Sus scrofa: one gene and its partner. Each later gene encodes a partner of the first gene's protein in a complex. Links are inferred from orthologs where the notes say so. Each region holds a gene or a part of one and is shown on either strand. Other genes may lie near its edges. The genes, in order: EXOSC3 and EXOSC5.

The links.
Region 2: EXOSC3 (region 1) and EXOSC5 share a complex: the UniProt entries of both Homo sapiens proteins name them as parts of the RNA exosome core complex. The link is inferred for Sus scrofa from reciprocal best matches to the Homo sapiens genes EXOSC3 and EXOSC5.

What each region holds. Positions count from the first base shown.
Region 1 is NC_010443.5:238,538,936-238,543,213, reverse strand, and holds the start of EXOSC3 (exosome complex component RRP40), read left to right. Parts: upstream 1-1,457; 5' UTR 1,458-2,101; coding exon 2,102-2,425; intron 2,426-3,107; coding exon 3,108-3,257; intron 3,258-4,278. UniProt on the Homo sapiens protein: Non-catalytic component of the RNA exosome complex which has 3'->5' exoribonuclease activity and participates in a multitude of cellular RNA processing and degradation events.
Region 2 is NC_010448.4:49,372,770-49,376,016, forward strand, and holds the end of EXOSC5 (exosome complex component RRP46), read right to left. Parts: coding exon 3,176-3,247; intron 1,880-3,175; coding exon 1,790-1,879; intron 1,072-1,789; coding exon 979-1,071; 3' UTR 609-978; downstream 1-608. UniProt on the Homo sapiens protein: Non-catalytic component of the RNA exosome complex which has 3'->5' exoribonuclease activity and participates in a multitude of cellular RNA processing and degradation events.

The DNA of each region.
Region 1 (4,278 bases):
CCTCTACTGCACTGGCTCCAGGTCAACAAGGCCCCCAGGCAAGAAGCAGGCCTAATCCACTCGGTAGGATCTGCCAGAAAGGCTCAGGAAGGAGGCCAAAAACAAGGTACGGCCTAGGAGCTAGAAGGTCCGTGGCCGATTGCACGGGCCCTGGTCTCCTATGCATTCCCCAGTCACTGAAGCCACTTTCACAGCCAGAAAACATTGAGCACGCCTTTCGGAAACAAGAACTTCGCAATCGCGGCCCAACGCCTCACTTAGTGCCGCCGTCAGGGTTCGCGGCTCCTAGCCGGACTCCGCACACTTGCTAATGGCCTCGGCTTCCCACGCAACCGCATGCAGGGCCTGCCCGCTGCTCCCATTTCGCGCTTACTCACCAGTGGCCACACGGCTCCGCGGCGGCGAAGCACCTACGTGGTGACACGCAGTGCCCAGGCCAGGCTGCCTTCCCGCCTCCCGGGTGCCTTCCAGCGTCCCACCCTCTGGGCACGCCCTTTTGGGAGGGTCGCGCAGAGCACCGCCCACGAGGTACTTTCGACCCGCCCCTCCCGGCCTCAGCTTCCTGTCTCAGGTAACCACTCTTTTCCAGGCCTCTGGTCTGTGGACTTAGGGATGTGCGTGCCCACGTGCCACCCCCACAGAAGTGCCCTTGTTAGGACTCCTCAGCCGTATCTGGGCTGAGTTCCTGACAGAGACTCCTCTACTGATGCCTGAGAGGCCATCCAGGGATCGTTTCCTGACCTCTCAGGCTGTAACCCAATGTCACTGAGCACAATTCAGGCATGGTCTTGGCCCAGTCGTGATTGAGTTAGTCTTGGTCACCTAATACCTACTGGATTCAGGTCTTCAGGAACTGGGTTGGAGTAGGGAGGAGAGAAAAATAATCTACACCATCCTTTCTGCAAAGGTAACCAACCAGATTGTTTTTACAGCAACTGACTACAAAACAAACAACAAAAATTACATTTCAGTTGACCTCTGGTATCTTATTTAGGTGTCTCACCAGTATCTTACAGAGTATGGAGAGTATATTAGAGGTAATCTCTTTTAAATATGATCAGAGCCACACCCTCCCAAATCCCCAGGAGCTCTGACTCCTACGATTATTTGGCTAAGGCTAATTGGAGGTGCCAGTTGACAGAGGAAACGGTGATTTAAAATTTTTTTTCTTTTTTTGGCCGCACTCGAGGCATGTGCAAGTTACTGGACCAGGGATGGAATCTGTGTCACAGCAAGGCCCCGAGTGAGAACTCTGGAAAATGATTTCAAGTGAGAGTCCTGAAAATCAGAAGAACAGAGCTGATGTGCTATTGATTTGGAATTCAACTGCTTTTCACATAGGCAACTAAAGCTAGCTCCAGGGAAAGCAGTAGCAAGGATTTAACTGCCATTAGCGATTTTTCTAAGCCAGCTAGGGGTAGCGCAATTATGTGGAAATATGCATGCAATATGTATCTATTCGAAGGGAGGAAAAAAGCCTAGGTAGAAATGCACATCAAAATGTTAACATTCATTCTTCCTTTTATTCACCGGGTATTACCTACTTCGTGCCAGGACCTGCGCTACAAACAATGGGAACTAGCTGACAATCTAGCAAGGGAGACAAACGGGCGGCAAGACTAACACGTTTTATGTTCTTATTCTTCTCTATGTTTTCCATTATGTGAATAGATATATTCTCAAGCAAAACCCAAAAAGATTTCATACTGAAAAAGAAAACACTTTTCCTCGTAAAGGTCCTTTTGAGGGCAGAGTCAGAAAGGAGAGCCAACTCAAGAAGGACCTCTGCTCAGTTCCTAAGGCTCCCCGGGAACCAAAGGTGGCGCCGTCTCGTATCGCACCGTCCGATCCGAGACACCGGAAGTGGAGGCTCCGCGACAGACTCAAGCTGCGCGTTTCTCCTGCTGACCACCGCAGGATTAGCGGCCGGCTAGAGACAATCATAGCTACCTTGGGGCAACCTCTGAGAGCACAGAACTGTCAGGCATCACTGCAGTAGTTTCAAGTCCCACAGGCCTGTGCTGCCGGAAACGGAAAGCTTTGGGTGGCCTGGCGATTGGACGCGGACCCGGAAGCCGGAAACTGTTTAGTTACACTCGCTATGGCTGAGCCAGCCGCTCATGCTGCGGAGTCCTTTGCTGGTTGCAGGGCGCGGGCAGCCCGTACAGTGCTGGATCAGGTGGTGCTCCCGGGTGAGGAGCTGCTGCTGCCTGAGCAGGAGGACGGAGAAGGCCCAGGAGGTGCAGGGGAGCGACCGCTGCGCCTGAACGCCGGAGCGCGCCCGCGGGTGCGCGTGGTGTGTGGCCCGGGCTTGCGGCGTTGTGGCGACCGGCTGCTGGTCACCAAGTGCGGCCGCCTCCGTCACAAGGAGGCCGGCGGCGGCGGCGGCAGTGGCGTCTATTGGGTGGACTCGCAGCAGAAGCGGGTGAGCCGGGTCTCCGAAGGGGTGGGACGGCCGGGAGAGGGCTGGGAAGACTCCTCGAGAGAAATACAGAAGGGACCCTGGAGCCCTCTTTTAAGGCTAGCCTACAGCTACCGTAGTCTTGTGCTTACCCTCCGCAACTCCTTTAGGGGGACTGTGAACAACTGTAAAGTGACCCGAGATGGGCGACCAGGAAAGGATTTTGGAGATCTTGTCACATAAGGGGATAAGGGCTGTGAGACACGTCATTATCTTCAAAACTCCAAAAGTCAAGGAGCCGCAGACTTGTCTTTGAGGGTCCCAAAGAACCAGGCTCAATGAGTAGATGTCACAGGGACTTATGCAAACAAACCACTGAACTCATGCAAACAAAAACTAGGGAGTTCCTGAGGATACAGGAACAGAAGGATACAGAAGAGTTGTGGAATACTGACTTAAGTGAACACATTATACTGTTTAGAAGCTGCAATCTTTAGAGCTTATCATGTGATTGCTTTTCTTCTACTGAAGGTGGCATGTGATCAAGTTTGTTTTAAGATTTGTATTGATTGGTAAACTTGGATTTCCAAATATTTTCTAAGTATTTCTAATGATAATAAAGTAACCACTAAGGACTTGCTGAAGATGTCTTCAAAATGACTGTCATTTATGGTCATTCATTCTCTCGTTGTGTTTTCTTTTGTAGTATGTTCCAGTCAAAGGAGACCATGTGATTGGCATAGTTACCGCTAAATCTGGAGATATATTCAAAGTTGATGTTGGAGGGAGTGAGCCAGCTTCTTTATCTTACTTGGCATTTGAAGGTGCAACTAAAAGAAACAGACCAAATGTTCAGGTAATGACAGGACCTTTGGTTTCAAAAGTAAGAAAAATACCCAATCCCTAAACACTCAGATATCCAGAGGGCTATCTTAAGTGTCTTATTTTCCCAGTTTCTATAGGATGACTTATCACTCCAGGCTTTAAGAGCCCTTTGAGATGCTCGCTCTGGGACCAGACCTCATACTTATTTTTCATTTGCTCCATCAGGGGATGTTTTCATCTCTACTGAGTTGAAAGATTATATCTGTTTTCTCCATTGTTATTATGTCTATATGCCCTGGACAAGGCAATAGGCTCAGGGAGGAAAGAGGGGAAAGTGGTGCACATTGCCATGTCAGTTGTCTATCCCAGTGTGAGTCCCAGGAGTAGCATCTCACAGCTTGTCAGATCACTTTCCCAGCAATCCCTTTTTTGTAGCTGACAGAGGTGCAGTCATGTTTTCATTTGGGGCTTTTCAGGTAGCATGGTCACACTCTTCCTGCCAATCTAAGTCAGAAATTTGGTGGCTTCTTTGCTCTTCTCACTCACCTCTCTTGTGTCTTTATTATTTATTTATTTATTTATTTGTGTCTTTTTAGGGCCATGCCTGTGGCACATGGAGATTCCCAGGCAAGGGGTCCAATCGGAGCTACAGCTGCCAGCCTACACCACAGCCACAGCAACGCTGGATCCTTAACCCACTGAGCGAGGCCAGGGATCAAACCCTCAACCTCATGGTTCCAAGTTGGATTGTTTCCCATGCACCACAACGACGGAACTCCACCTCTCTTGTGTCTTTAGTTGTTTAATCTTATTGATCCTTTTTGAGTCTTACCTCTGATCTTCCACATGTCCACCCCTTTATCTCCACTTTGCAAGTTCAGGCCTTAGCTATCTCTCTTCACTGACTTAATCTGTGACCTCCTTATTAACATCCTTTTTGTACACTTTTGCCCCTCCATCCAGGCTTTTAAGAACTGACACAACTCTTTCTCCCCCTACCCACGCCACCCCCAAAAGTTCTTTAAAGCTTACGTATTTCCTTGGCTGATACT
Region 2 (3,247 bases), on another chromosome or scaffold:
CCCCTGGCCTGGGGACTTCCATATGCCACAAGTATGACTGGCACAGAAGGTCAAGGTTCGGGGGTTGTCACTGCAATGGCTTGGGTTGCTGCTGTGGCACAGAATACGCCCATTTTCAAAAGCCCTTGTGAGATGCTGCCACCCGTGACTGAGAACCAACAGACCTCAGCCACCCCCGTTCACAGGCAGGGAAGCAAAGTGCAGAGTGTACCAGACCCGCATCTCCCGGGTTTGCCCGAACAGTGGAGGCTCTGGGTATAGGTTCTGAGTGGGACCCATGCTCCACCACTAACCAGCTGGTGACCTCTGGCAGTTAACTGGCTTCTGAGCTTGTTTTCTTACAAAGGGACTATAACAGCCCAACCACACCCTTTTTGAGTGAGTAAAAGCAGCACGCAGAGGCCAGACTCCCCTCCGAGGCCCTCAAAACCCGCTGCCAGGGGGTCATCTCCCCAGGTATCCACTGAGCGCATCCCGGCTTCCTCCTGGGCTTCCCTCAGACTCCTCCCATGAAGGTGCCCCAGACTGTATTCCATCTGCCTTCCCCAAATGAACTCGCTGAAACCCTCTTCCCTGCTTTTCTTTTTTCAAAATAGCATTTACCACTCTCCAACAAACACAAATTTTATTTGTCTATCACAGCACTGCTTCTCAAAACCCAGGACCTGGGTCCCATACATTGCCATGGCCTCAGCACCTGGTAGGGCCCACACACTGTAACAGGCCTTGCAGGGCTGTTGAGATGAGTAGGTTCATTCAATAAATGCACAATCCGTTTTCTTGGGGTGGGGCAGACCCTGGGGCTATTAGCCACACATTCCTGGCAGGTTAGGGGCTCCTGCAGTGACAGAGCCACAAGCTCACCCCCACGCACAAGGACAGACAGGCAGGGCCGGGCTGCTGGTTTAGTTGGTACTGGAGGGAGTGGGCGGTGGCGGGAGGGGCACCTGCCCTGGCCTGCCTCAGCTCTTGGCTGCCTCAGCTCTTGGAGTAACGCCTCTGCAGCGATTCCCGGTAGAAGCGGAAGACGTGTTGGGAGGCAGTCTGGGCTGCAGCCAGGCACTGCTGGAGCTGGAAGGAGAGCTGGGTGGGTGCTGGGGGGCCAGGAGGTTCCCCCGGCCCCACCTGACCCCCAGAACCCACAAACCTACTACCCCCCTTCACTGGGTGTCCCCCTCACCCCAGCGAGGCAGGGGGGTGAGGGAAATTACAAGTGTATTTCCTTCTTCCCCACGTCCCGGGCTCCTTGGGGGCGGGGGAACGGGGAAGGCTTCAGGGGTCAGATTCCATCAGTTCCAGGGCAATGGTGCTCAGATTAACAGGATCAGCCATCCTGACCCCTGGAAGCGATTCCAACCTGCCGGGCTCTGGAATCAGAGATTGGAATTTCAGAGCTACAGAATCCAAGCCCCCACATCTTTACTGCCATGTGTGCCTGGACTCACAGGAAGGCCAGGTGGGCAATGCTCCTGGAGACCACCTGGCCCAACAGTGGCCACTCTGTTTTTCAGACACCCTGAATTCCAGAGCGTGCAGCTCTGAGCTGGAAGCTGGAAGGCCTTCAGGTGCTCCCAGCTCCTGATTTCAACCTGAGCCCCTCCTCTCTTCTCATAAACTGGGCTCCCTTTAAAAATTCCCAAAGGTCTCTAAGGCTAAAAGTTTGAAAACGCCTCCTATTTACAGAAGGCAGGCATGGAAGGGGCTCTCCTTAAGCCTCTCAGGGTTGGAATAGGGCCTCTTATCAGGTGGACAGGAAGGACCTGGCTTTCACCCCGTTGCAGGCTGGTACCTCAGCATCTGAGTAGAGTCCCTTGGTGGTGGACATCAGCAGCTTCCGTTCCACACTGTCAAGAGCAAAGGTCAGGACCGCCCGGGCCTCCTAGGGACAAGGGGTACAAGGTGGGGGACCTGGGACTCTCCCCTCAGCCACAATCTCAGTTGTCTCAAAGAGGGGGGCTTACTTTTACAATTTTTCTTTTCAGGGCCACACCTACGGCATATGGAAGTTCCCAGTCTAGGGTCTGAATTGGAGCTGCAGCTGCTGGGCCTACACCACAGTCATGTGGGACCCAAGCTGCCTCCATGACTTACTGCAGCTTATGGCAACACCGGATCCTGAACCCACTGGGCGAGGCCAGGGATCAAACCCACATTCTCATGAACACTAGTGATTTTTTTTGTGTGTACATACTACCCCGTCCCTGCTCCCCCGGGAAATGGTTGCCCACACGACTCTACCACATGGTTCTGACAGGGGCTTCTGAGCACTGTATCCTGGGCCACAGGGCAGCCATGTGTCGGTCATTCGCCTGTGTCTCCCAGCCTCCCCTTGTTGCTCTGTGCCCCTGGGGCTGGAAGCCAGCAAACTGTATTTCCAGATTCTCCTGCTAGTTAGGTTTCCCCAGGAATCTGGTGGGAGACTGGAAGGAAGCAGAGCAGCATCCTGGTCCTTGTAGTAGCAGGAGTTTGGGGTATATTGCCTGCCATGGAAACCGTACCAGTGTCTCCAATAGCACAGAGCAGGAGTTGGCTTCAGGGCGCCTAATCTCTGGGCGTCCTCCCTTCTTTTTTTGCTTTCAGTTCTTCCAATATGATTGTAATCAGTTCCCTGCATTAAATTCCCTCTGTCTGAAATCCCCCAAGGGGTTTTGGCTTTCCCACCTGGATGTGACTGTTTCAGTCTTGGGCAGATAACTAGGAATAACCAGAGCCCCAGCACACTATGAACTTGAGCCAGTGAAGAAAAAGCTCTCTCCTTCTTTGCTTCTGCACCTCTTAAAATCATTTCTCTTTTTGTTGAAGTGGGCTAGAGTTGGGTTTCCAGCACTTGCCCAGATGAATGGAGCAGAGCTTGCCAGCTGGGACTGAAGTGGTACAAGCCAACCATTTTGTTTTTTTTGTTTGTTTTTTGGTCTTTTTAGGGCCACACCCACAGCACATGGAGGTTCCCAAGACAGGGTGAATTGGACTGCAGCTGCGGCCTACACCACAGCTCACGCCAATGCTAGATCCTTAACCCACTGAGCGAGGCCAGGGATCGAACCTGCATCCTCATGGATGCTAGTCAGATTCATTTCTGCTGAACCCCATCAGGAACACCACAAGCCAAGTGTTTTGAAGCGAGACCTGGAGGAGGAAGGGAGAAACTTTCCACTACCTGGCCCTTCATACCTACCTTTTCTTGCTTGGCTGTGGGGTCCAGCATGAAGGTCCCATCGGAGTCCAGAGCACAGGTGACCCCACAGAA